3 linked regions of the Drosophila melanogaster genome follow. The protein of the gene in region 1 interacts with the protein of each later gene in a biochemical or structural test. Each region holds a gene or a part of one and is shown in the gene's direction. Other genes may lie near its edges.

Region 1 (8,141 bases):
CCATCGGTTTTTTCAGCTGGATCGAGCATTCAGGGTTGTCCGACACATATGCTGAATACCTAGTAGCAGGGAAAGTTTTTTTTTTTTTTTTTTTTTTTTTTGTAATTTCTATATAGCATTACATATTTAAAGGGCTTAAAGTTAAGCAATTAATATTCTCACCTAGCATGCAGCATCCTCTCAATCTTCGCGATTTCAACATTAGCCTGACCTATATATGGGCAGACCAAGAAATGCTCGTAGTCAAATTTGGCGAAATACGCAAAGAAGTTTCGAAGGAAGCCCTTGATGACGGGGACGGTCGCCTTTAATTGCTGCAGTCCCAGTTCGCTAAACGATTTTTGTGCAAAGTTGACAACCCACGCTGTAAAGAGACGACTTACTTGGTGAATCCCCCCAAGAAACCGACGATGTACTTACGACCCACGAGCACGGCCTGATTGGCTGCATCCTCTATCTGCAGCATGGCAATGGGGGGCAGCAGGGCCTGGAGCTGCAGGAAGTAAATCACCATCAGTGTAATGCTGTACGTCGATATTTGTTCAGTTAGCTTGCAGCGCTCCAGCCAGTTCTTTACATATATGCACATATATTGAGCTGCAAGGGAGCGAATGCAAAAAGATAACATGGACTCTATCCGGCAGCATGTGCTTACTCAGTGGCTGTGACTCAAATATGTATTTGAGCAGATTTGTATTGCAAAAGCCCATGCTGTTCAGACAAATGTCGCACTCGATACCGGTTGGTAAGTGGCACGTCTTGATGATGGGCACGCGAGCCTGTTCGATGAACTGTTGAAGAAAGTGCAATGGTAAAAACGAACGTATTGCTTAGGGACACAGCTCACATTAATAAGACGCCAGTCCTCGCTGTCGCAGAAGAACTTCCTCATAGCCCGCAGCTTGGCGACGGTAGCGTTGGAAGCTCGATGCTCGAACGTGTGAAATGTGTTGCCTGCCAATTCAGAAGCCAGGTGAAATTGGTAGGAGCTCAATGCAGTACTAACCCGACTTACCGATGTCGACGAAGAGGTCCAGGTCCGAGGATCGATTTCCAATGCCTGTGATGCGGGACCCGAACTTGTAGACTCGCAGTGGTTGTTTGGGAAAGCCCGGCGACAAAAGCTTGCACAGGTCCTGTTCGATAACGTCGTACTCGGGAATCACCTTTAACTTGTCCGCTATTGGGTATTTGTCCTTAAACACATTCGTAATCTCTCCCACAATCATTGCCCTGGCCTCTGCAATGTAAAAAGTATTTATAAAATATCGCTGGCTCTAAAGAAAACATATTAATCAAAGTATTGAGGCTTTATCAATCTAACATTTACAAGTAGTCAGACCACAATTTTTAGACTGCACTTCTGCGTAAGTAAATGAAATGAAATGGTGACCTACTCTTGGGTAGCCGTACTGTTATATGCTGACGAGCCTTCACCTGGGCCTGCTTTTTCTCCTGTTTCGTCTGATGCGTCGGATGCGGCTGGACTGGCTGATTGTTGGGATTGGGTTTTGGATGCTGCTCCGAAAGGTGGGCCACAGCTTTTGCGATGGTGGTGCCCACTATGCGGTTGCTGCAGGAACTACAGCTGAATGTTCGCTTTATTGTCTGCAGCTCCTGGGGCTGGACGAAGGCCACGCCCTCACCCGGTGCGGCCATCTCCTGCGGCAAAACGTATGTGGGATTCCTGTCCAAGTAGCTCTCGATGCCCACCATAATGCGCTCCAGCAGGTTGGCCAGGTGCGGGTCTAGCTGCGGCGGATTCGTCGTCTGGTTCACTGAGTTTAGGGTCTGCAGAAAGAAGTGTGCCTCCATGGTAAGCGGATTCATCTGCACGATCAGCGGGCTTTAGTCTAAAAATTCGAATGATACAAACTCGTACTCACGTAAAGCAGTTTGTTTGGCATCATCTCGGCCATCGTCTTATTCTTCTTCGTGGCCTTTGTTACCGGAGCGGCTATGTTGGGCGCGGTGGAGCCCGGAAGCTGAAAGGTTAATCGAATGCGTTAACTTTTCTGCAACTCGAAAGTTTGCCGCCTTTGTTCGACTGCCAATAACTGTTGATTCGAAAATTCGAATCGAAGCGGTTGAATTTCGTAGGGTGGCCAACTACACCAAAGTTCGCCGGCGGTGTATGCATGTGAGTGTGAGTGTGACAGTGGGTGTACGTGTGCTTTAAGCGACACAATCGCACCGCGATGTACATATTTTTGTAGAAATGTGTGTGCATTTTTCGTCCGGATCACGGCTCCATAAAATAAATCATATCACAGGGCTCAGGGATTTGTGAGTAGAAGTTCCCGCCACTTAAACGTCACTTGTGAAATCGCCATCGACGGTCAACTTTTACTCACACTGGTCTTCCGCGGACGGACCGTCTCAAAGTACTGCCTTTCTGCGTTGGAAAACATCGCCTTTTTCGTCCAAAAGGAGTCCCCAGGTTCGATCCGCATGGCGTTGTGCGTGCGTGCCTTTCTTTTCAAATGATTACGGCTATTAACTTGGGGGCGTTAAGTTGGAAACACGTAAATTGCAGACTGCGATTAGAGTGACCATGAGTAGGAGTTCAAAATCTCCTGACATCATTTTCTTAAAACCTGCTTTGTTTTTTACATTTCTATTTAATATAACTCCTATTTGAATAAAAAAACAAAACAAGTTTAGATGTTAAGATATTAACTACATCCTTTGCTCCAAAGGGAGAGGGGAAGTTATGGAGTTAATTAATTTGCTGTTGGAAATCAATATGGAGTCAGAAATATAATGATTTACTAAACCTTATTGAATCGGTAACGATGCGAATTTATATTAAAATAGCTTTTATGAAACATTCAACAAAAATATTATTAATGTTGGCCCACTTTAGCAACCGGTTAGGTCTACCGGTTGGGCAAGCAAAGATTCACGCCCTGGTTCGAGTCCCAACTAGTCCTGCAAAATACCGCAGCAAGTTTTAGAGAGACCAAGTGCCATTACCTCTCCCACTTCAGTTATCGGTTATGCGGCGTTTAAGTCGACAGCTTGCCGTCTCTAGCTCCGGTGCCTATATAAAGCAGCCCGCTTTCCACATTTCATATTCGTTTTACGTTTGTCAAGCCTCATAGCCGGCAGTTCGAACGTATACGCTCTCTGAGTCAGACCTCGAAATCGTAGCTCTACACAATTCTGTGAATTTTCCTTGTCGCGTGTGAAACACTTCCAATAAAAACTCAATATGGTGAGTACTTTAAAAAAAAATCTAGTGAAATAATGCTGAAAAGAAATTTGTGTGGGCAAAATTCAATGGGCAAAAACGCGATGCGGCTTTTTCTCAAAATGGCGGCCGGCCTGCGTTTTTTCCTCAAAAGTGATGACGTCATGCCTGTTTTTTTTTTTTGTTCGCAATGAGGAATGGCTCTTAAAATCTAGATAAAAAAAATATTCATTATTTCTATGCTGCTGGAACGCTTCATTAATCTTAAAAATTCTAAATTCGGTTACCATGATACTTCGACGCATAACTGTAGATTTTGGATAGAATTAAAGAGAAAATGGCGAGAGAGTAAAATTCCGGCGTCGGCAAAGTAGAGCAAAAAAATCAGTATACCATTTAGCTACCTCTCTCACTCGCACGCAGTGCCGGCTCAAGTTGGGCGCGGCTCTGCAATTATCGATTTTCTTGGGGTGTGTAACTAATCATCCGTTTTCCCTTCCTCCTCATCCACAGCGTGAATGTATCTCTATCCATGTTGGTCAGGCTGGTGTCCAGATTGGAAACGCCTGCTGGGAGCTCTACTGCTTGGAGCACGGCATCCAGCCCGATGGCCAGATGCCGTCTGACAAGACCGTGGGCGGAGGTGATGACTCGTTCAACACCTTCTTCAGCGAGACTGGAGCTGGCAAGCACGTGCCCCGCGCCGTGTTTGTGGATCTGGAACCCACTGTGGTCGATGAGGTCCGTACCGGAACCTACCGTCAGCTGTTCCACCCCGAGCAGCTGATCACTGGTAAGGAGGATGCGGCCAACAACTACGCCCGTGGCCACTACACCATCGGCAAGGAGATCGTCGATCTGGTTCTGGACAGGATCCGCAAGCTGGCCGATCAGTGCACCGGTCTGCAGGGCTTCCTCATCTTCCACTCGTTCGGTGGAGGTACCGGCTCCGGCTTCACCTCGCTGCTGATGGAGCGTCTCTCCGTGGACTACGGCAAGAAGTCCAAGCTGGAGTTCGCCATCTACCCAGCCCCCCAGGTGTCCACTGCCGTGGTCGAGCCCTACAACTCCATCCTGACCACCCACACCACCCTGGAGCATTCCGACTGCGCCTTCATGGTCGACAACGAGGCTATCTACGACATCTGCCGCCGCAATCTGGACATTGAGCGCCCCACGTACACCAACCTGAACCGTCTGATTGGCCAGATCGTGTCCTCGATTACCGCCTCTCTGCGATTCGATGGTGCCCTTAACGTGGATCTGACTGAGTTCCAGACCAACTTGGTGCCCTACCCACGTATTCACTTCCCTCTGGTGACCTACGCCCCCGTTATCTCCGCCGAGAAGGCCTACCACGAGCAGCTGTCGGTGGCTGAGATCACCAACGCCTGCTTCGAGCCGGCCAACCAGATGGTCAAGTGCGATCCCCGTCACGGCAAGTACATGGCCTGCTGCATGCTGTACCGCGGTGATGTTGTGCCCAAGGACGTCAACGCCGCTATTGCCACCATCAAGACCAAGCGCACCATTCAATTCGTCGACTGGTGCCCCACTGGCTTCAAGGTTGGCATCAACTACCAGCCACCCACCGTGGTGCCTGGAGGTGATTTGGCCAAGGTGCAGCGTGCCGTGTGCATGTTGTCCAACACCACGGCCATCGCCGAGGCCTGGGCCCGTCTGGACCACAAGTTCGATCTGATGTACGCCAAGCGTGCCTTCGTCCACTGGTACGTTGGTGAGGGTATGGAGGAGGGAGAGTTCTCCGAGGCCCGTGAGGATTTGGCTGCCCTCGAGAAGGACTACGAGGAGGTCGGCATGGACTCCGGTGACGGCGAGGGTGAGGGCGCTGAGGAGTACTAAGCGTCACGCCACTTCAACGCTCGATGGGAGCGTCATTGGTGGGCGGGGTAACCGTCGAAATCAGTGTTTACGCTTCCAATCGCAACAAAAAATTCACTGCAACACTGAAAAGCATACGAAAACGATGAAGATTGTACGAGAAACCATAAAGTATTTTATCCACAAAGACACGTATAGCAGAAAAGCCAAGTTAACTCGGCGATAAGTTGTGTACACAAGAATAAAATCGGCCAGATTCAGTGTTGTCAGAAATAAGAAAACCCCACTGTTTTTCTTTGCCTTTTCTTTCTCCCAGCGATCATTCATTTCGTGGTGAAAGAACGGGGTCATTGCACGGAGTTTCGACTGCGGGAAAGCAGAGCTGCCGTTCACTTCGTCTATAATTAGCGCTTTCTATTTTCCCCGATTCGGGCCGCTGCTGCGCTTTTCCGCCTGCTGTTTGTGGCAAGTGTAGCAGCAGGCTGTGCACGCAGTGTGGCATGCACTTGGCTTTCCACCGTTGGTATCGATTCTCTGGGACGATGAGTCATTCCTTTCGGGGCCACAGCATAATCGTTGCCAGCTCACCGAAATGGTGACTTCATTTCTTAACTGCCGTCAAGCATGCGATTGTACATACATACATATTTACATATGTACATATTTATGTGACTATGGTAGGTCGATATAATAGCAATCAACGCAAGCAAATGTGTCAGTCCTGCTTACAGGAACGATTCTATTTAGTAATTTTCGTTGTATAAAGTAATTATGTATGTATGTAAGCCCCATAAATCTGAAACAATTAGGCAAAACCATGCGAAGCTTCCGAATTTAACTACGAGTCTACGAGTTAAATATGTATGTATGTACGTATTGAAGTGACCGCGTTTGTACATACACATTATGTATGTACTTTGTGCAGGCCTTTAATGGGGGTTGATTTGCCAAAACGAAATTGGAGCCTAGGTAAACCGGTTGGTTGTTGTGTTGTACTTGTAAGTATGTAGACACATACATACATAATCCGCCTGCTCCGTTTGCGCCCAATGCGGCATTTTCATGAAACAGACCGAAGAGGCAGCTGCTATCGAATTTCCAGAAATACCCAGGCAAACGGGCAGGAAATGAAGCACGGGAGGCAGATGTGCTTGGAAAATGTGTACACTGTATTGACGAGAAATGCACAAACGCACACATTGCATGTAAGAACGTGCATACATACATATATGTATGTACATACATACATAAAATAGCATTTACCGGTAGAGACTGGCGCCTTTATTGAGGTTATGTCTGATGTCATTTGGTACAAATGTGCAAAGAAATGGGTCTTTTTTTTGCCGTTGAAATATAGTTTACCTAACAGCACGCACCTAAGACTATTTAAGAAACAGTTTCAGCCTTAAAATCACGCTTTTTCGGCGATAAATGCAAACAGTTGGCTTCATGAAATCATAGCCAGCTGCCAACGCAGATTTGGTATGGCGATATGACTATATATGTACATACATACGTACGTACATACATGGATAGTGTCAAACGCCAACGCATTTTTATAATGACGACACTTCGGAACCGGCTCACAGAGATCTGCTCAGAAAGGTGTGGGTGGATAAGGCGGTTTCGTCGGCGGTTTTATGGCCAGCAAGCCCCCACAATCGAGCTCTGATGAATACGGATGAATGTGTAAGCCGAAATGTTTGATCAATAAAGTAAAGTTCGGAAATATAAAATGCTTCGCTTTGCAAAATAAATAAGAATACAGAACACATACGTACATACATATGTATGTATGTCTGAACTGCAAGAGTGGCATTTTTTGCCACTCAACCAATTTGAGTGTCGGGTGCCACTCCCTTACGGGTACTCACTTATAACCTTCGTGTGTTTTGCAAGCACTCGGGTGCGCGCGCACCCGAATCATTGCGGAACTCTTCGTCGCGAGTGCCGAACACACTCGCCACTCAGAAAAAAGGGAAACAGTGAGAAAAAGGCAAGTACGCAAAAAGTTTTGAGTGGCAAAAATAGTCATAATTCGAAGCCAAAGAAAGAGGTCGCAATTATGGAAGAAAAGGCAGATATTATAAAAACTAAAATTTTGAATGGAACTTACTCGGTTGCCATTCAACGTAAGGGAAAGAGTGTGATTTGGAGCATTTTATGTGACATTTTAAAGGAAAATGGAACTGTTCTTGACGGATGGCTGTACTGCAGTAAATGCCGCAAAGTGCTCAAATTTGTACCTAATCACATTTCCAATTTATCCCGACATAAATGTTGCCTGACATTAAGACGACCAACGGAGTTAAAAATTGTTTCTGAAAGCGACAAGGAAGAGGCCATTGAAGTATGCACCCAATGGGTTGTGCAAGATTGTCAGTCGTTTTCTGCGGTAACCGGTGCTGGATTTAAAAATTTGGTACAGTTTTTCTTAAAAATTGGCGCAGTTTATGGGGAACACGTGGACGTCGATGACTTACTCCCTGATCCAACAACATTAAGTCTTAAGGCCCATTCGGAGGCAGAAGAAAAGGGTACTCTAGTCTCGGCCGCGATAAAAGAAGCTGTAGATAGTGATAGTGGAGGAACTATGACAGCAACGGCAGATTTAATTAAAAAAAAAATTATGAATGGAGCTTACACTGTTGCCAATCAACGTAAGGGAAAAAGTGTGATTTGGAGCATTTTATGTGACATTTTTAAGGAAGATGAAACTGTTCTGGACGGATGGCTGTTTTGCAGTAAATGCCGGAAAGTGCTCAAATTTATACAAAATCACACTTCCAATTTATCCCGCCATAAATGTTGCTTACAATTGAGACGACCAACGGAGTTAAAAATCGTTTCTGAAATCGACAGGGAAGAAGCCATTGAAAAATGCACCCAATGGGTTGTGCAAGATCGTCAGTCGTTTTCTGCAGTAACCGGGGCTGGATTTAAAAACTTGGTACAGTTTTTCTTAAAAATTGGCGCAGTTTATGGGGACCAGGTAGACGTCGATGACTTACTACCTGATCCAACAACATGTTGAATGCATACCTACATATGCCAATATTGATTTGTTGAAATTTGTAAAACATCGATACTATCATTGTTTTGAAAA
Region 2 (10,275 bases), on another chromosome or scaffold:
GACACTCTGGCCGCAAGTGCACAGAGTATTGAATCATTCAAGAATCATTTAAAGCTAATGGCAAACTCTTGTGTTTATTACAGACACCATTCGAGAATCGAATGTATTCACTAAAGATCGAGTGCGGCGAACGCTATCCGGATGAGCCACCAACGCTCCGGTTTATAACTAAAGTAAACATTAACTGCATTAATCAGAACAATGGCGTGGTAAGTGCAAGCAATCGAATGTGGCATATAAACAACGACGAATGCTAATATATTTGAATTTGCAACAGGTTGATCATAGATCAGTTCAGATGTTGGCCAGATGGAGTCGCGAGTACAATATAAAAACGATGCTGCAGGAAATCCGTAGGATTATGACCATGAAAGAGAACCTGAAGCTGGCACAGCCGCCAGAAGGTAGCTGTTTTTAGTCGACAACATCCGTTAGCAACACCAGCAGCAGCTGCAACAGCATCGAATGCAACGCGAGCGGGAGCAGCATCCACACCCAGTAAGAGCCGGAAAACGAACCACCATCATCAGTCCAAAAGTCCAAGACCAAGGTGGCCACACGTGCGTGGAATTAAAAAGAGATTGTGTGGCGGCTGCTCCGCCGAGTTGCCATCGGTGGCAGCGTATGCTTATTAATGAACGTAATAAAGATCGAGTGCGGTTATTGTGGCAAGAACAACAACCAAATGCAAGCTATATACTATAAGTAAAGGGAACAGCAGCGAAAAATGCGATAGGAGCGTCACTATGAAGAGGTCGTCGTCGTCCCTTCCGTCATGAACTATGTCATCGTGTTTGGTTACCTTACTCTTCTTACTACTTCAACTTCAGTCCCCAAACAAAACGAAACGAAAATATGAGAACTTCTTTTGAATAAGAAATAAAACAGCAGCAAAAGAAACAAGTTAAATGCCTGAATGTTTCAGATTCAAAACTTCAAATCGAAAATTCGTAAACTAATCGAACAGAAAAGTAATGCATAACAATGATAACGATTAATCAAGATCACAGCGTGAGATCCGAGCGTAATTATTGTTTTTTTTTGCCTAAACTAAAAATTTATTAATTATATACATAAAGCAAAATATATATTAATTTAAATAAAACCAACATGTCGAACACAATTTTTGTAGACGGCGCCAGTACGAACGTTTTTTTTTTTTGTTTATCATTGATGAAGCGATTTTGTAGTTGATTTTATATTCTATTCTTTCGAAAATCTTCCTCCCGAATCGCTTGGGACGAGGGACGCGATTTATAATCATTGAATTGTGGAAATTATAGATATATATATATATATATAGAAACACACACACACTAAGCCGATGAGCAAATCGAGCGGACAGAACGATGAACGATGATTAAAATAATACTTTAATTTAAGCTTCTAAATAAAACAATTAATCCAATAAAACGTAGTGTATCCATGTAATCTAGTGGGGTTACTTAAAAACTTATAAACAAAACAAAATCAAGTAACAAATTGAAACATTTTGATGTCCCGCCTAGAAATGATTTTCCAACCAACCATCATTTCCGTTTATTTGTCAATTGTTTATTGTTTTAAATACATAATTGATTTATCGATTCTATACACAATCAATGTCACATTATCCATCAATCATTTCGCTAGGCTCCTGTAGTCTTTGTAGCCTCAATCCCCCGCTCATTGAATCTTCCGATCCGATCTTTGTTTGGTTACCATCAGTAGGTTACCAAGGATGTTTTAGATTTAGCTATTTAGTTTTATTTTGAATCGTTTGGTTGGCTGGCTCTCGCATATTGGGATAGTATTTGTGTTTATATTTTTCAGCGGAGAGAACATTGACTTGGTGGTTGCGGATGTTGCTTGTTCACTTGTGTGTGGTTTTGGTTTTTGCTTAAAATTGATTTATCTTTATTAGTCGGTAAAGCCGCGATAACACTGCATTTCTTCACACCATCAAAATCAAATTCAAACATTCTACTTCTCCTTGGGCACGAACACAATCTTCCGCGACTTGAGCGACGACCACTTGTGCCGCTTAATGTAATACGAGATGACGGTCAGGAAGCCAAGGATGCCAATCACCTTGATCAGCAGCTGCTTGCGATCGTCGTGCTCCGGCTCGGAAGTCCACTTCAGGAAAGTGGCCACGTCCTTGGCCAGCTGGCTCTGCGTCGGCGGTGTGCCGTCCTCGTACTCGATGACCTGGAAAGGGGATAATCATTAAAGATTGCAATCGTGTTCTCTTATATCGTTTTCAAATCATTAGTTTCTTTCTGAGAAGGAAAATATAGAACTAGTATTTGATCAGCCACCCACCTCGTTGTACAAAACCTGCGCCATGGAAATGGCACCGCCCGGGAAGTACGGGTTGAAGTACTGACCCTCGCGCAGCACCACTCCGGCAGGAGCATCATGGTAGCCCGTGAGCAGCGAGAAGATGTAATCCTCTCCGCCCTTGCGGGCCGACACGATGTAGCTCAGATCCGGAGGATAAGCACCGTTGTTGGCAGCACGGGCCGCCTCCTCGTTGGGATACGGCGATGGGAAGTAGTCCGACAGCTTGCCAGGACGAGTGTAGTAGTTGCCGGTATCATCGGGACCGTCCTTGACCTGTAACGGGGACATTCAAATCAATTAGGAAACATTTAGATCTAGAAATCTAAAAATTCGAATACCCACCGTGATCTGCTCGGCTTCAGCCTTAGCCTCGGCTTCGGTGTGGGTGACACCAACCAGATTGCGGTAGGCAATGTATTGCATCGAGTGGCAGGCGGAGCACACCTGCTTGTACACCTCGTAGCCGCGACGAACGCTGAAAGTAGGAATTGAGATGATGTTACTAACTGGATAGCAGGGTCAGTGGGCAAATGCCATCTTATATGCAGATACTACAAAACATTCTTTAATATCTTTAATTTTAACTAAAATCCCCATTTAACAATCCATTAATCTTCTATGTTCTGCTAGTTGCTGTTCTGATTAGCTTTTATGAGCAAAGTATTGTTGTTAATCTATAGTTGTTATCAGTTTTTAAAGATTACAGAAGATTTGCCGGGAAAATTGGCTACGTTTTCTAAATTGAATATGATATTTGTATTGGCGAGTTTGAGATAAAATAAAATACTTCAAACAAAATCTCTCTAATCATTAAAGAACTCTTTTTGAAATTTGACAGCAATCTAAACCAATTCACTAGAAATGCACTTAGTTAGCTCCACCACAGATGGAAATGCCCAGTTCCCGACCACTGATCAGTTTAACCGCCGTTTTTTGGATTACCTCTGGTGGTCCAAAGCGTCGAAGAGGCCCTTGTGGTTCCAGAGTTGCGCGGGGGAGTGCACCTCGCCGCCAGATGCCTGCACGGACTGCTCCAGGGCGTAGATAAGGGCGCCCACTCCGCCGGTGATTGCTCCCAAGGCGCCGATCAGCTGTTCGTGATGCACACACACGCACATACAGCCGCACACAGTCACCGAGAAGCAAACGCGTTTTGAGGTTAGGTCCGATCGGGTATTATGAAATGCGAAGTGGGGGAATATGTGAGATTCCTGACTAGCTGACTTACCTTCTTGTTGCCACTGGCCCAGCTGCCGGCGGAGGAGAGGTTCTTCGCCTGCAAAAAGAACGGATGTCATTTAGTTTGGATGTTCGGCCAAGGAGAGTAAGAATTTTTGCACGGAGTTACATAATTGGATTGTTCGGTTCGTATCCGAGTTCATTTAATCCCATTGGAATTGCGGATACCACTCACTGTGCCACCTAGAGTGCACCATTGGTCCTTGTATTTTATGTTTTACGGTATTATTTCATGTTTTTCTCCATCGGACACACGACTCCTTCAAGGTGCTGCGGTGGCTGTTGAAAAACTTGCATCCGCCGTTCACGATCTTTACCTGCTGCAGGCTGAGTGCTGGCGCGGATTTCAGCAATCTCAAGCCATGGAATCTTCGCAATGTCGCTGCCATGGTGGCCGGAGTTTTAATTTCTGCGTCGTCTGGTCGTTTAAGGAAACTCTGCGGGCAGCCAATCGCCAATCGAATCAATCTTTCAGTACCACTGCCACAACGTCTTCCTCTTCTTCGCTGCTCTCTCGCGGAGGTGGTGGTGGGCAACTCGCTCGTTTGCCAGCGAATCGGAATCGGCGGGGGCGATATTTTGGTATTTTTAAACAGATATTTTAATTTTATTTTATTATTATTTTTTTATTTACTGTATGATATTTATTTATAATATGATATTAATGTATGTATAATTTAAATAATACATTTAAAATATCACTTTTTATTTTTTTCTTTTTTAATAAATATTTGTTACACAGTGTACCTTAATTGCTTTTAGTGTTTTTTTTTTCTTTCATGTTCTTTATTATATCTTCGAATTTACGGTTTTCCAACTTGTTGATTCAAAATACTTCATAATCTAATTGGAACTACTTGTTGACATTAAGTTGGATTTTTTGATTTTTTAGAAACCACTTGATGATTTCATAAGATAAGTTGACAGAACAGCTCTAAAAACAGCTGCCTTAGCCTTAGCCAAATTTTTGGTTGCTGTTATGTAATTTTTCATGTTTCACTGCGCTGTTATCACAAAAAAAGATTTTAATTTTTATTATTGAATTCTTTTCGAAATATCTATAAAATTCTTAAAAGCCTTGAAAAAGGATTTTCAAAAAGTAAAAATAAGTACAATTATCGCAGTTCACAAAATAACCTTCGATTGCTTATATCACAGGTCAATATTATAATTTTATTTTTATTTTTGCTAATTGTTTTTATATATATATTATTTAAAAAAAAATATATAAAATTATTTTGTCTCACTGATGAATAGATTTTTCCGCTGGTCTGGCATCCTTCTCGCCCGTTTTTCGCACACTTATCGATAACAGCTGACCACCCGTTAATGATTCGCCAACAAAAAAAACCTAGCAACGCATAAACAAATGCGAGAAAAAACCCCCTTTATTGATTTCCACTAAGTGCGGTCAGCGCAAATAGTGGTTAATAGCTTTCACTAGACGAGGAATAAAGCCAGGACGTAGATCGCCATGCCGCAGGAGGAGGCAAATGCGGGAACAACGGCCCAACTCGATGACGAAATCGAGAATGTGCGTGTGGTGGTGCGAACGCGACCCATGGACAAAAATGAGTTGTCCGCGGGAGCGCTAAGTGCGATTTCGGTGGATAAGATCAACCGGGCCATTACGGTGATGAAACCGAATGCCACCGCCAATGAACCGCCGAAAACGTACTACTTCGACAATGTATTCGATGGTGGCTCCAATCAAATGGATCTCTATGTGGACACCGCTCGTCCGATTGTGGACAAGGTGCTGGAGGGCTATAATGGCACCATCTTGGCCTACGGACAAACGGGCACCGGCAAGACGTATACCATGTCGGGGAATCCGGATTCGCCGCAAACAAAGGGCATCATTCCGAATGCATTTGCGCACATCTTTGGTCACATTGCTAAGGCCAAGGAGAATCAGAAGTTCCTGGTGCGCGTCAGCTACATGGAGATCTATAACGAAGAGGTGCGGGATCTACTGGGCAAGGATGTGGGCAAGAGCCTGGAGGTCAAGGAGCGACCGGACATCGGTGTCTTTGTTAAGGATCTCAGTGGCTATGTGGTGCACAACGCCGATGATCTGGAGAACATCATGCGTTTGGGTAACAAAAATCGTGCCGTGGGAGCCACCAAAATGAACCAGGAGAGCTCCCGCTCCCATGCCATTTTCTCCATTACTGTGGAGAGAAGTGAGCTGGGCGAAGGTGATGTCCAGCACGTAAGGATGGGTAAACTACAGCTGGTGGATCTCGCCGGCTCCGAAAGGCAGTCGAAGACCCAGGCCAGTGGACAGAGACTTAAAGAGGCCACCAAGATTAATCTTTCGCTATCGGTGCTGGGAAATGTGATCAGTGCTTTGGTGGATGGAAAAAGCACCCACATACCGTATCGGAACTCCAAGTTAACTCGACTTCTGCAGGACTCCCTCGGTGGTAACTCCAAGACCGTCATGTGTGCCACCATTAGTCCAGCGGATAGCAATTATATGGAAACTATATCCACACTTCGCTATGCTAGTCGTGCTAAGAATATCCAAAATCGCATGCACATCAATGAGGAACCCAAGGATGCTTTGCTTCGTCACTTTCAGGAGGAGATTGCCCGACTTCGCAAGCAATTGGAGGAGGGCGACAGCTTGGAGGAGGAGCCACCGAGCTCCGAAGAGGAGGAGGATACAGCAGATGACGAACTGGAGGCACCACTGGAGATCGAATTGGAATCATCAACGATCCAGGCTGTGGAGAAAAAACCCAAGAAGAAGCGCGAGAAAACCGATGCCGAAAAGGAGGAACTGGCCAAGCGCAAAAACGAGCATCAGAAGGAAATCGAGCATGCTAAGACGGAGCAGGAAACACTTCGCAATAAACTAGTCTCATTGGAAGGTAAAATTCTCGTTGGCGGCGAGAATCTGCTGGAGAAAGCCCAGACGCAAGAGCTGCTGCTAGAGCAATCCATTGCGGAGCTGGAACAACATGAAAAGTCCGAGGAGGCGCTGAAGCAAACTCTACAGCAAAAGGCCACCGAAAGGATTGACATTGAGGAGCGTTACTCCACGCTTCAAGATGCCAGCACTGGCATTACCAAGAAGATACACCGGGTGATGCAGATGCTGATGGGCGTGAAATCGGAGCTGGCGGATCAGCAGCAGGAGCACCAGCGCGAAAAGGAGGGCATATACGAGAATATCAGGAGCCTATCCAGGGAATTGGCCTTATGTGAGCTGGTATTAAATTCCTATGTGCCCAAGGAGTACCAATCGATGATTAATCAGTATACGCACTGGAACGAGGACATCGGCGAGTGGCAGCTGAAGTGTGTGGCCTACACGGGTAACAATATGAGGAAACACATCTCGGCGCACAAGACGAGTGGCAAGGAGCCAGATTTCCTCGATCTCTCACATGTCTATCTCAGCTACAACACCGATGGCGTGTCCAATCCAATGCGCTCCAAATCCGCCAGGCCGCGAACCTCGGGTGTGCCCAGACCGACGACTGCCAGGCGATATTGAAGCTAGTGTTGGAAGGACAATCGACTGCTAGTCCAGCTGCATGTCCTCGGCGGTCTGCGCGTCCAATTTTGGTTTCTGCTCCTGCTAATCTTGATTTTCTACAGCCTCAGATTCATTTGCTCAGCGAATTTCCTTTTTGTTAGACCTTAGTTTTTGTTGATTTATTGCTTAGGACATACTTTTTAGGTTGAACAACGGTGCAATATATTTACTACTGTGTTTGTAATTTTACTTTCTAACTTATATTTATTTTATAATACTTACAACTAAGTAGTAACAAGATTTTACCCGATTAGGCACAAATATATAACTATTGTGTGCTCTTGGCTTTTAAATAAAAATATGATACTCACACGTAATTATTTTATATTCTTACTTCAAGGAATTATGCGTAATTTCTTTTTATTTTTTAGCAGCTTGAAAGCATGCTTTAAATTTTCCGGGCTTGCTGAAGAAAACTGAAATTTGGCCGACCTACTCATAACAGGTTCCATAGTGTAGCGGTTATCACGTCTGCTTTACACGCAGAAGGTCTCCGGTTCGATCCCGGATGGAACCACGTTGACAAAAGTATATATTTTTTTAAATTCATTATATGTTTATTAATTTTTATTACGACAGAAAACATAAATTCAAGTTTTTTATTCCCACAAAATACTAAATAATACTTAAGTAAAAACAACTGATTTTTGTGTATACTATGAACACGAAAGAATTATATATAACATATTATATACTTTTGTTTGCTAAAACTCCACTTAGTAAGCGTTTAAAAAAATAAAAATAAAAAAAAGTTACTTCCTCCTGGTTCCATCCGGGATCGAACCGGAGACCTTCTGCGTGTAAAGCAGACGTGATAACCGCTACACTATGGAACCAGATGCCAATCGCTTGACACAACGCAAACAAAGCACAGCGCCAAAAAAGGTTCTAAGGCAAAATGAAAAAAGTCAATCGTAAGGAATTTAAAAATCTGGGTTGCTGATAATTTAAAATTAAAATAAACCCAAGAATGTGAAAGCTTTAAGTCGAACGATAAATAAGAATGTCATAATTTAATAGTCCTTTCTTCTTTTTTTGATGTTCGTTTCGCTTAAATGCCGTCCGTTCAGGTGTTATTTCGATACCGGATTACTCATCCCACCTGCAGGGGATGCGATTGTTTGGGCAGGTAAGCCTGCGATAAGGAAAGCAAACTGTACTTTTATCCATTATTTATTTACCTTTGTGCGAATTTCTACGCCTGTCGCAGCTTAGATTTTAGGCTACCCAAATGAATCTGGCTGAAAGCATTTCCGCTTTATCAGTTTGCTCTTATCGCCGCACGTTTTGTTTGCCCATTTAGCTGCAGCTAGTTGCGAATTGGGGGGCGGAGCTCCACTCAGCGGACAGCGGTATCGCAGTAAGACGTCACGAATAACTGTTCAATTTACATATATTCACATTAAACCAATCTGCCAAGTGAAAAAGAGAATTGCGTTGCCAGGTGAAAGAAAAAGATCGGAGTGAAAAATCACCGAGAGCAAGGTAAAGTTACTCACTCCACTGGCAGCCAATTGAGTGGAAACAAATAACCGAAACACCAAGCTACAAGGAAATAGTAATCATGATCAATCATGAAGCTATCGGTTTTATTAGGACTTTTTTAGAAACTTGAATATCAGATAGCAGGTTCATTTTAATTTAGTATATATTTCTGTATAAAATAAACAAGATTCACATAGCATTTCATATAGACTATATATTAAATTCAACACCATATTCAAAATAAATGACTGTTTTGTTGTCGAGTGTAGTTGAGTGGTTGCTCTCGCACTTTCGGCGGACAGACCGAACCGAGCGATCGTAAAACTCTTCGGCCCCAGGCCCACAATATCAGTCTGTCCGCTGCGCATAGTCGAAACGGAAGGAAAATCGCTTTAATTCTCTGTGATCTGTGTTTGCGTGTTGAACTCGAGTTTTCAGTTCGTTGTTATCTGTTCAATTTCATTTGGATGTGCAATTGCCGACGCTAAAAATATATACGTAACGCGTGCAAGAAATTGAGAGTATTGCCCGACGCTCAACTAAATTACAAAAAAGAAATTTTATTTCATATATAAACGCCACGTTCTCGCGTTCTAACAAACTCCCCAATAAAAAACACACTCAAGCAGCACATTACATATACTCGACCACGCTGTATAATTAGTTACTAGCCGTTGATATTTCCAATACGCCGCATAGCAACAATAACCATATCAAACATTTCGATAATCTGATGTGACACAAGTTTTTGCATCGAAATAGCCGTGTGTGTGTGTGTGTGTGTGTTTGGTTCCCATTCGCCGCCAATCAAACCAATCGCATTGAGAGTGTAATCCGGGAAAAGTTATACACACCTAAACCTGCGCCTTTTCAATGTAGCCCTTCATGGATAATTAACACGTGAGCGTTGTGTGACTATATAGCAAAATCGTGTTAAAATCGTGTTCGCAGTGGCTGAATTTAGCAGCGATCCAACGAATAGTGTCATCTCGAACCCAGACACCCCCCACACCCCCTGCGAATTTCTCTTATTTGTCGGCGCGGAATTTGCCTGAGTCACGAGCCATTTCAATTTTCCGGTAAGTTGTCTTCGCTCTCAATCTCGATCTCATTCCGAAACCGAATCGGTAGAAGAGTGCTGAACTCGAGTGTTAAGTGTTAACTGTTAGTGAAAACACTTCCATTGTATCATTTATTGACCTCGAAATGCCATCGCAAAAATCAGGAACGCGTCGCAATATCTGTTTACCGACAAAAATAGGGTCAACATATTCCGATTGTCTGGGGACGTTTTTTCCCATCATTGTCTGCGATAGATAGACATATGTATAAGGATTATCTGGGGATCGGGGTTCGAAAGACGACGAGTCGCAATAGGGGTGACTGTCCTTTGAGTGAAATGGGTTTTCCATTTAAAAGAAGTGGATCTTGTCATATTTTCAAATGTAAACCAATTTATTCTGAGTTCAAAGAACTCATAGTTTGATCTTTACGCTTCTGGATTTCTTTGACATTCTTTAAAATAGATCATAGATTTTAAAAATAGATAGAGTGAACCATCAAAGCGTGTATAAATATATTTCGATGTATATTTGTTAAAAATATATTTTCTTCTTTTCCAAACTAAAATGTGCTATTTGTGTGAGCTGCTTTCGGCACTCAACAGTTTTTCACTA
Region 3 (11,225 bases), on another chromosome or scaffold:
TATCTACATAAATGCTTCGTCCACATTCAGGCCGTGATCCATGGCCACCTTGGAGTCGTCGTCCAGCCCACCAGCTAACGTCAATAGATAGTCGGGATCATCGATTGAACTACTGGGGGGCGCATTGTACATCCTGCGGTAGGAGGCTTCGATGTTTTCGTCCAGCATTCGATCCACAATGTCACTCTGGACCTGTCCCGGTTCCTGGGACATTTTAAGCAGCAGCTCCGCATGACTGGGTGTCACTTGAGGCAGTTGAAGATCGGTGGCTGCTGTGGGATTTACATTTGCCCTTCGCTGGGCGATTTCCGCCGATTCCGCACCCATTTTGCAGATTGCACACCTGCTGCGAGAAATCTGCTTCTTCAGATTGACCAAAGCCATACGATCCTGCGCCACCAGCATTCGTTCGTGGGCCAGCTGTGCCTCCTTTTCCGCGATTTCCTGGGCCCGCTTGGCCATGACCTTAAGCTTGGCCTGGAGCAGCTGGTCCGCCTCCCTAGCCTTCTGCTCGGCCAAGTGTTGGCGACTAGTGGCTAGGCGGTAGGCGCCGGTGGCTTGGCCCAGTTCGTCCTCCTTGAGATTTAGGGCGTGCTCCTTATCCAGAAGATGGCGCTTGCGCTGCTCCATTTCGCGCTGCAGCTTGTGGTAGCGATCCCGCTCCTCATCCGCCCGCCGAATGGCTTCGCGTGCCACCTGCAGTTGGGCCTCCAGTTCCCGGCGATCTCTGTCTGGGTCGCCGTGCTCATTGAGCTGTTGTCTTAGTTCAATCTGCTGGCGTTCCACTGTCAGTTGATTGCGCTCCTCCTGGAGATCGTGGTGCAGTCGTTCCATTTCCGCAAGCTGCAGTGCTTTAAGATCCTCCACACGCTTCTCGTCCCGCTGCATTTGCTCGCGATGGAATTCTTTTTCGCGCTCGAAAGCCTTGCGCTCCGCTTCCAAGCTGGACATTCGTTGACGGAGCTGCCAGTTCTCTTCGGCTGACTCCTTGGACAAACGGCCCAGCTGCAGCTCCAAGGTGCTCACCAGTTCCATCAGGCGGCGCTTCTCATCGTCGGCCGTCTCCTCGTCCATCTTTAGACGCCTTTCCTGGTCGGCCAGGCGACGTTCTCGCGCCTCCAACTGCCGTTCCCTTTCCTGGTTGTCACTCATCCCGTCACGAAGTTCTTGAAGATTGCTGGACGCCAGACGCAATGTGTCCAGATAATTTCCATGATCCTGCACCGCCGACAACTCCACCATTTTAGCCTGACGAATACCCTCGAGGTCCAGCTCGTGGGATTGACGCAGCTTGCGCACCTCATCCTCATGATCTTGTCGCAGGCTGGAAATCTGCTCCACATAGTCCTCCTTCTGCTTCTCCAGTTTTTCGATGTAGTACTGCCGTAACTCGCTATTCTCGTCCTTGAGTCGTTTCTCTACGACGGACAAGTGCTCCTCCAGCACCTTGATTTGTTTTCTGGACATAAAATTAAATTCTCTTACTCATTTGCATTATTATTTCAGCAGCTGGTTAAAACTTACTTATATGAAGAATCTATCATTTCGATCTCCTGCTCATAGTTGACCTTCATGTTGGCCACCAGCTCATCGAGTCGCTGTTTCTCCAGCAGATTGCGTTTGGCATCCATTTCTAGCAGAAGCAAATGCTCCTGTTCCTGACTGGTCGCCTTGTGGTGCTCCTTCCTTTCCGGTTCCGGTTCCGGTTTCTCCACGAGCGGCGGTGTGGACACCACATCCTGTACACGCACTGGCTGCGACATCATCAGCTGGAGGTGCATGTTGATCCGCTCCTGCTGGCCTTTTATATGCTCCTCCATTTGCTGCTGTCGCTGCAGCTGCTGTTGGATTAATGCCTGAAACTTTCGATCCTGATCCTCTTGGCGACGCTGCATCTCCAATAGAGTCCGCTCTTGACTCTTCATTTGGGCGGCAATCACCAATTGTGCCTCCTGCTGCTGCAGGGCATTGAATTTATGGTTACTCTCCAGGTTGAGATTGCTAAGCATGAGGATATTTTGGGTGGCGGCAGTGACGACGGATGGGGCGGGCACGGCGGCCATTTCCGCCTCCTGCTCCATACCGTTCTCATCGGAGTCGGGCAGGCGCAGGATGTCGGCTGTATTCTTGGAAGGACTTTCACTTGAGGGCTGCGCCTTGGCGGTCTGCGCTTTCGGTGTTATCGGTCGCTGATCCGGCTCCTGCTCCAGACCCAACCAATCCGCGGTAGTTCCCCGTTTTTTCGAAACGGGAGTGGACATTCCCGAAACAGTAGCATTCGTATCCCTGCCAAAAAGGCCCAACGGATCGGCATTCATATTAATGGTGGCCGATTGCGCTGAGCTTCTTCTGCCGGTAGAAGTCTTGGGCCTCGCCTGCGAGTTGTCCGTGGTGGTGTCCGTGGATTGGCGCGACATGGATGGTTTGCTAGTGGCCGGACGTTTGACGGCATCTCCCGCCAGAATCTCATCGAAAATGTTTTTCTTGGGCTCCGCGTTGCTGGTCAACAGATCATCGAAAAGGCTCCTTTTGGTGCCGCCACTCTTGGGTCGTTTGGGATCAAAACCCAAGTCATCGTCCTCGACCAGATCATCATCCAGTGAGATAGATGGCTTCTGCTTCACAATTCTCGGCGTGCTGATGGCATTGGGTGTCTTTCTGGCACCCGTTCCCTGTCCCTGGACATCCGCCTCCGTCTCCTCCTGAATCCCAAACAAATCCTCCAGTTTTCCCTTGGGCTTCGCCAATTTGGCTGGCTTCTTGTGACCCACTCCCGCTGGCGTCTCAAAGAAGTTGTCATTATCCAGGCTATTATCGCTGAGCAGTTCAGCCAGTGGATCGTCGTTGAAATTCATTGTGAATAATAACCAATGGTAAAAAGTAAAAAGAACTATTGATATGTAAACGATACGGTTGCCTAGTAACGAATTTTAAATGTCTACAGCAACGAAAATAATCGAACAGGATAAAGTAGTCTTTAATATTAACTAAGGGATAGCGTAAAAAAATGTTTTGGGATTTCAATGACTACATAGTTTTTAAAAGTATGTTTAATTTCAGGTTTTTACTTAATTCCTTTGCATGAGAGCTTATAGCATTTCCAATGGAGGCTTACAGATATGAAACCTTAGAATAAAAATAAAATCAAACTAGCTTTACACCATTAATTGATATAAATTTAAATTGTTATAATTTTATTAAATTTTTTTAACGATATTAAAAAAAAACAAGTGTTCGAGGAATTGTTGGTATTTTGTAAAGCGTGGAGTGCGGTCACACTGCCGTTGAGATTGTTTTGATTTTTGTTAAAAAATGAGCAATATTTACATCCAAGAACCACCCACGTCGGGAAAGGTGCTCCTTAAGACCACTGTGGGCGACATAGACATCGAGTTGTGGGCACGGGAGTGTCCGAAGGCGTGCCGCAACTTTGTGCAACTCTGCCTAGAGGGCTACTACAAGAACACCGAATTCCACCGGCTGGTCAAGGGCTTTATTGTCCAGGGAGGCGATCCGAATGGCGACGGCACCGGCGGCGAGTCCATATACGGACAGCCCTTCAAGGATGAGTTCCACTCCCGACTCCGGTACACGCGTCGTGGCCTCGTCGGCATGGCAAATTCTGGAAAGGATGACAATGGCTCACAGTTCTTCTTCACATTTGCTCCGACACCGGAGCTGCAGAATAAGAACACGCTTTTTGGAAAGATCACCGGCGATACCATCTACAACATGCTCAAGCTGGAAGATGGCATTGTTGACCACCAGGAAAGACCGATGCACGCACATCGCATCGTTTCTACGGAAGTCCTCTCGAACCCATTCGATGATATCGTTCCTCGTATTCTCTCCCAACCTTCCACGAAGAGCAAAAAGACTAAGAAGGAGCGACAAGGAGTCAAGTAAGACTTACGTTCTAAATCGGAAACCAAATTGTTAACATACTACTAAGTGAAAACAATGAATGATGGCATAATAATGCGGCGTATCTGCAACGTATTGATTTATTTACCATACACTTAAACTGAAGTCTCTAAATACCTTGTAGTGCATTGCTAACGCTTCAATATAATCCACAGAAACTTCGGACTGCTTTCTTTTGGCGAAGAAGCCGAAGGTGACGAGGAGGAGACCAACGTCTATGTTAAACAGAACGCCGGTAAGGCGAAATCCCTGCACGACGTCACAGATGATCCAAAACTCAGCAAGGAGCCCATTCGTGTACCCAAAGTAGAAAAAGCCGACATCGAGGAGCACTTGTCCGACGATTGCCCTGAGGACAGTGTCAAGGATAAACCGTCCACTGCTAGTTCGGATCTCATCAAAATGAAACTGTCTAAGAGATCAAAGAGTGGAGCAGACAAAAAAGTTCAGCCAGTGGAGGAAAAGTCTGATTCTGAGGATGACGAGGATGTTTTGTTAACACGGGAGGAGGAACAAAGTCGAAAAGTCTCGGAGGAAAAGTGAGCTATACTTAAATAGGTTTTATCATGTTTCAAGTCATATAATTTATGTATTTTAGATCCAAGATCCGTGAGGAAATCGCTTCTCTGAAAAAGCAGTATCAAATGGATAAGCAGAGCAAAGACAAACTAGTTAATGGACAAGAGAAAGCAGCAAAGTCCAATGAAATCAAGGGGTCCAGCGAAAACCATTATATTAACGATTTTATAGAGTCTAAGGAGAAGTACACCGCCAAAGTAAAGCTTCAACCGAAGGGACAGTCAAGGTGGGATATATATAAATTTTATTCTTTTCAAAGATTTTACCAATTTTTTTAAACTTTAGAGAGGCATTTACATTGAGCCTACTCTCCAAGTTCCGAACGAAACTGGATAACTTGAAGCAAAAGTCAAGCTCTGATGATGGCGAATCGGAACCGAAGGATATAGACGATCGCGTAGTAGAACAGGAAATAATCGGCGACGATTGGTTGTCGCATACCTTAAATTTTAATAGTACGACTCCGGTTTTAGCTAAGGATGCCAATAAAAAGGGCGACGATTGGTACGATGCCTACGATCCACGAAATCCTCTAAATAAACGTAAGCGGGGCGAAACTGGCTCTAGTAAATCGAGTTCGGGTAAATCAAAAAGCAGTAAACGTGACTTTTAAAGAAAAAATAAAAAAAGATAGTTTCAATAAATATTGATGTATTTATATATATCGTAATTATCTGCTTGCGTATACTATTACCAAAAAACAATTACTATCTACTAAACTGGGTGGTAAGTTAGTGTTGTGCTCATTTCTCTGCCATTTTGAATTGCGCGGTATTGAATTGGGAGTACCGTATTTTCGCTCCATTTGGTGGTGCAACGTTGGTCAGCCTGGGCACACTGCACGTTTGAGCCAGACAAAGTTAACAGCAGCTGAGACAAAAAAGCGAATTCAAGGTGAAGTAATTGGCTTCAAAATAACAGGTAATAGCAGTTGATTGCCAAATCGATTTGCTCATTAGCTCAAGTGGCTGACTAGCTTCAAATTGTGCGTGCAAATCGAGCACAGAAGTGCCCAAATCAGAAGGTTGCGTCAGGAGGGAATTATTGATTTTATTCGTCATTTGTTTTCGGTCGCCACAGCTACTCGACTTTGTTTTTGTTGAGGCGGAGCTGCCTGAGTCACCACCACAGAAAAGAGCACAGTTAACACGGACCTTGTGGATCTCCGGATATTTGGAGATGAGTGCCAAGAGCAGGAGACCTGGCACCGGCAGCAGCCAGACGCCAAACGAGTGCGTCCAGGTGGTGGTCCGATGCAGGCCCATGAGCAACAGAGAACGCTCGGAAAGATCGCCGGAGGTGGTCAACGTGTATCCGAATCGAGGCGTTGTGGAGCTGCAGAATGTGGTCGATGGCAATAAGGAGCAGCGCAAGGTTTTCACCTACGATGCCGCCTATGATGCGAGTGCAACGCAGACGACGCTCTACCATGAAGTGGTCTTTCCCCTAGTCAGTTCCGTTTTGGAGGGATTCAACGGATGTATATTTGCCTATGGACAAACGGGCACTGGTAAAACCTTCACAATGGAGGGAGTACGCGGAAATGACGAACTGATGGGCATAATACCGCGCACATTCGAACAGATCTGGCTGCACATTAATCGCACCGAGAATTTCCAGTTTCTGGTCGATGTATCCTACCTAGAGATTTATATGGAGGAGCTGCGCGATCTGCTAAAGCCCAACTCTAAGCATTTGGAGGTGCGGGAACGTGGATCGGGCGTTTATGTGCCCAATCTGCACGCCATTAACTGCAAGAGTGTCGAAGATATGATCAAAGTGATGCAGGTGGGCAACAAGAACCGCACAGTGGGATTCACCAACATGAATGAGCATAGTTCAAGGTAAGTTTCGGTATAAACAGGCTATACGAATACTCGCATTTCATCAGGAATCCGAGGCTTTCGATAAGGATAAACTTTAGTTAATTAATTATCGTTTACTTGCAGATCCCACGCCATTTTCATGATCAAAATCGAGATGTGCGATACGGAAACGAACACCATCAAAGTGGGCAAACTGAATCTCATCGATTTGGCGGGCAGTGAGCGGCAGTCCAAGACAGGAGCATCAGCGGAGCGGCTAAAGGAAGCCAGCAAGATTAATCTGGCACTCTCGTCGCTGGGCAACGTGATCTCCGCCCTGGCCGAAAGTTCGCCACATGTTCCGTATCGTGACTCAAAGCTGACGCGATTGTTGCAGGATTCGTTGGGTGGCAATTCCAAGACCATTATGATTGCCAACATTGGACCATCCAATTACAATTATAACGAAACGCTTACAACGCTGCGGTACGCTTCGCGGGCCAAGTCCATCCAGAATCAGCCGATTAAGAATGAGGATCCACAGGATGCCAAGTTGAAGGAGTACCAAGAGGAAATTGAGCGACTCAAGCGGCTAATAGGTCCGCAACAGCAGCAACGCAGTGAAAAGCAGGTCACGGCCAAGAAGCAGCGCGTCAAGAAGCCCAAAAAGGAGACCGTAACTAAAGAGATGTCAGACTCTCTGCAGGTTTCAACAATTGAGCAGCCGGTGGAGGATGACAGCGATCCCGAGGGTGCCGAGTCCGAATCGGATAAGGAAAACGAGGCCGAGGTGGCGAAGTCCAACGAGGAACTGGAACGGGAGCGCGTCGAGAACTCAAAACTGGCAGCCAAACTCGCAGAATTGGAGGGTCAACTTGTTCGCGGCGGAAAAAACCTGCTGGACACGTACAGTGAGCGCCAGATAGAGCTGGAGAAGAAGCTGGTGGAGATCGCTGAGCGCAAGAAGCGTGAAATTGAGATCCAACAGCAGCTGGAACTGCAGGAGGAGACTACTCTGGAAATTCGCGAACGAAATGTTTCACTTGAACAAGAGGTGGAGCTTAAGAAGCGCAAGCTCTCCAAATGCTACGCCAAATATTTGGCTCTTCAGCAGGAACTCAACGATTGCAAGTCCGACCACAACCAGGATCTTAGGGAGCTCGAGATGGCTCAGAACGAGCTGGTCAAGGAGCTAAAACGCCAGCTTCTTATCATCGACAATTTTGTGCCCATCGAGGTCAAGCAGCGCCTGTACACGCAGGCCAAGTATGACGAGGAGCAGGAGGAATGGAAATTCTCTTCGATGTCGCTGCCCACGCCTCCTGGTGGTGATGGCAAGTTCAGCAGCAAGCGACCGGTATCGCATCCTCAGCGCAGAAGGCCCACCTCCGAATACGCTCTGCAGGAAGCCAAATCGAATTCACCGAGCTCTCTACGCTTCAAGAGCGAGAACATCGTGAACTACGAGCTGGAGATGCCGTGTCGCACCACCCAGGAGTACCGTACGCCTAAGGTGTCCGCCTCGCTGCAGGCGGTGCTCGCTCAAGCCATGCAAACGGGCGGAGATGATATAGACATCGTGGACTCGCACACAAACTCACTGCGCAGCCGTCTAGAGAACATTATCAACGCGAATGCCAATGGAGGAGCTGGACCAGGTGCTGGCGTCGCTGTGGGCAGCTCCATACCCAATGTTCGCAACATTAAGTCAAGCCGGGGGCTGCCAAGTGCCGCCTCAAATCTGGACTCGAACCGCCGTCCGCCCACGGGCCGTCTGCCGGCAAAGAAGCCAGCTTCGGCGTATCCCAAAGCTCGCGGCCTGGTCAACAAATAATCACAAACGATTTTAATCGAATTGAATTGCATCTAACCATTGTCGTGCAAACACAACACTAACCAAAGTATTTCATAGTCATCGCAATATGTACACCTCGGTACTTTTAGCCCAATCTACTCACATTTCACGCTTTGTAAAAGTTTCCTTTTGTTTTAAGTCATCTCATGCACTGGCCCTAGAATTATAAAGATTTTTTATTAATTCCACTTTAGTTAATGCCATATGCCTTGAGTGACTTGGCCAGTCGACCCCAACACGCTTCCTTAATTATTTTTATGTTTATTTGTTACTCGACTCGAATTATTGTTATTGATTTAAATGCAAACATACGTACGTTTTGTGTTCGATTAAGTGCAATCCAAGCTTGAGTTAAATCCAGCTGCAACTGTCTATTATTTACTTAGTAAATGATTTTTAGTTAATATTATAAACCAAATAAAGCAACTCCGTAAACACAAAAACACCTCTGAGTTAATTTGTTTTTGGGGATTGGAAAACTCATGATGAATAAGTACTACTACAACGTTTGTAGATAAATGCAGTTTCGTTTAATATAAATGCAATATTCAAAATACTGGACTCCATTTGATTTCCATTTTTCACTTGATTACTTTCAGAGAGCGACCGACTTCAATGAATGCATTAATTGCCCGATCGATTTCGGCTTCCGTGTGGGCAGCGGAGATTTGAACACGGATGCGTGCCTTTCCCTGAGGAACCACCGGATAGCTAAATCCGATGACATAGATGCCACGGGCTGAAATTTAATATTAGTTAAATATATATGTAGATAAAGGGATGATTAAGATTTCAACTAACTTAGCATCTCATCGGCAAACTGGGAGGCAAGACGAGCGTCACCTAGCATAACGGGGCAGATGGGATGGTTCTCGCCGGCTATGGTGAATCCAGCCTTTGTCATGGCCTGCCTAAAGCGTTGCGTGTTGCTCTGGACGCGCTGGGTGAGCTCGCTGGATTGGAGGAGCATGTCCATTACCTTCAGACCAACGGCCACAACAGCTGGCGGCAGAGTGTTGGAGAAGAGATACGGCCGGGATTTCTGGCGCAGGAACGAGATTAGCTCGGCGGGTCCAGTGGTGTATCCACCGGAAGCACCACCCAAAGCCTTGCCCAGTGTGGAGTTTATGATGTCCACCTCACCCATGACATTGTCATACTCCTCGGTGCCACGTCCAGTGGCGCCAAAAAAGCCCGTAGCATGACACTCGTCCACAAACACCAGGGCATTGTATTTCCTAGCCAGTTCAACGATTCGGGCCAGTGGTGCGATGTTGCCATCCATGGAAAAAACACCATCGGTGGCGATCAGCTTGAGGCGAGCATCGCTGGCCTTTAGCTGCTCCTCCAAGTCGCCCAGGTCCCGGTGCCTATAGCGCTGTTTCTTCGCCTTGCACAGACGGATGCCGTCAATGATGGATGCGTGATTTAGTTCATCGGAGAAGACCGCATCCTCCGGTGTGAGGATGGCCTCAAAGATACCGGCATTGGCGTCGAAACAGGAGGCGTACAGAATGGTATCCTCGCGCCCATGGAACTGGGCTATCTTCTTTTCCAGCTGCTTGTGTATATCCTGCGTGCCGCAAATGAACCGCACTGAGCTCAGACCAGCGCCATACTGCTCCAACAGCTTCTGGCTGTGCTCCACGATCTCCGGATTGTTCTGGTGGTGTTAGAGAAAGCTTGTAGGTGGACATCACTGGGATCGCAACAAGTTCACTTACCGCCAGTCCTAAGTAGTTGTTGGCGCAAAAGTTGAGTATCTTTTTATCGCTACCTTGCACGGTTATCTGAGTGCTCTGCGAAGATGTGATGATTCGCTCTGCTTTAAAGGTGCCTGCATCCTTAATCCCGGCCAGCTGGGTGCCCAGGATCTCCCTCAGCTGAGCCTGAGCCGCTGCGCTATAGTGGCGTCCTCCCACTGCGAATGAGTACGAAAATATATAGTCTTATTCTAGCAATTTATTTGGCTATTTAAAAGATTTTGTAGTATAATTAAGACACATATTTATATGTATTTAAAGAGAATTTGTCAAATTTTTTCACGTTACTTGTTACTTTAAATTATGTAAATATTTAAAAATTTCAAGGTGTTCAGAAATAGAAATGCACATGTTTCATACACATAGAGTAGATATATTTCCTATTTTCTTATCTATAAAGCGTTATTTTTTTTTCAAATTAAAGAAAATATAATTATAAATATTTGTTATTTGAAAAGTCATTTAGAAATAACCATATGGCATGACAAGAGCTTCATATATACGCTATACAGTCTTACCCCCACGAAAGAGCAGTGATTTGGAGAAAATTGACATATTTTCACTGATTTTTCCTACACTTTTCTATTCGCGAAAATGTATTTCTGGCTGACTGGTGTCCAGATCCGCTCGACGACTCGACTCGCTCTTGACTGAATAATAGCAACCAGGCGACGTGGACGGGCATGGAAACTAGTCTCCCTAGTTGGGGGCTCGAACTGCAAGCAGCTGATTTTTGTTTTCCACTTATAAATAGTACATATGTATGCCTATATATATATGTACATATTTACCTCCCTCACTAGCAAATACATGCCGGCTGGCTTTCATTTAACTAAATTGATTTAATTTACTTTCACTCTTGTTGTCATGGCGCGCCTTTTAAATAGCATAAACACAATGTGGATACTTAGGCGCAAATGTATCTGATATTGCAAATTGCTTCCAAGGTCATGAGCTTCGACTAAATTTAAGACGAATCTAATTCAAAGATTAGCTGCTAATAGTGAGCGAAGCTGATAGTGTAATGCTTATTGCAATCACTTTTACGAATGAAATAAATAAAAACAAAAAATAGTTTTATAACTCTTGATATTATATTTTGATATTATAAAGAAAAATCTTTTGAGTATTATCTTAAGTCGAACTTTAGAGTACATTTATCAATAATTATATGCACGAAAATTGAATTTTGGACTTAAATTCAAATGCAGTTGTAAAAACATTTTTTTAAATTATATAAATAAATTCAAAATAAAATAGGAAAGATGCAAGGTTCTACCGAGATTTGAACTCGGATCG

What was found.
Region 2: the proteins of alphaTub84B (region 1) and Klp64D interact in far-western blotting, tested with the Drosophila melanogaster proteins (one study listed by BioGRID).
Region 3: the proteins of alphaTub84B (region 1) and Klp68D interact in far-western blotting, tested with the Drosophila melanogaster proteins (one study listed by BioGRID).

Annotation. Positions count from the first base shown.
Region 1 is NT_033777.3:7,083,528-7,091,668, forward strand, and holds alphaTub84B (alpha-Tubulin at 84B), read left to right. Parts: upstream 1-3,071; 5' UTR 3,072-3,214; coding exon 3,215-3,217; intron 3,218-3,706; coding exon 3,707-5,056; 3' UTR 5,057-5,312; downstream 5,313-8,141. Other genes in the region: tailor, read right to left, coding at 1-59, 163-364, 421-597, 656-791, 848-954, 1,007-1,240, 1,398-1,830, 1,887-1,985 and 1 more. UniProt on the Drosophila melanogaster protein: Tubulin is the major constituent of microtubules, a cylinder consisting of laterally associated linear protofilaments composed of alpha- and beta-tubulin heterodimers.
Region 2 is NT_037436.4:5,354,018-5,364,292, reverse strand, and holds Klp64D (Kinesin-like protein at 64D), read left to right. Parts: upstream 1-4,900; 5' UTR 4,901-5,038; coding exon 5,039-7,072; 3' UTR 7,073-7,429; downstream 7,430-10,275. Other genes in the region: Uev1A (Ubiquitin-conjugating enzyme variant 1A), read left to right, coding at 84-209, 278-418; Cyt-c1 (cytochrome c1), read right to left, coding at 1,963-2,190, 2,305-2,598, 2,668-2,800, 3,268-3,416, 3,554-3,601, 3,882-3,953.
Region 3 is NT_037436.4:11,790,275-11,801,499, forward strand, and holds Klp68D (Kinesin-like protein at 68D), read left to right. Parts: upstream 1-5,339; 5' UTR 5,340-5,424; intron 5,425-5,583; 5' UTR 5,584-5,682; coding exon 5,683-6,347; intron 6,348-6,452; coding exon 6,453-8,142; 3' UTR 8,143-8,601; downstream 8,602-11,225. Other genes in the region: twy (twitchy), read right to left, coding at 4-1,459, 1,525-2,855; CG10907 (uncharacterized protein), read left to right, coding at 3,313-3,902, 4,080-4,463, 4,523-4,729, 4,789-5,116; Gcat (glycine C-acetyltransferase), read right to left, coding at 8,745-8,902, 8,965-9,826, 9,888-10,084, 10,445-10,481. UniProt on the Drosophila melanogaster protein: Plus-end directed microtubule motor that may be used for anterograde axonal transport and could conceivably move cargos in fly neurons different than those moved by kinesin heavy chain or other plus-end directed motors.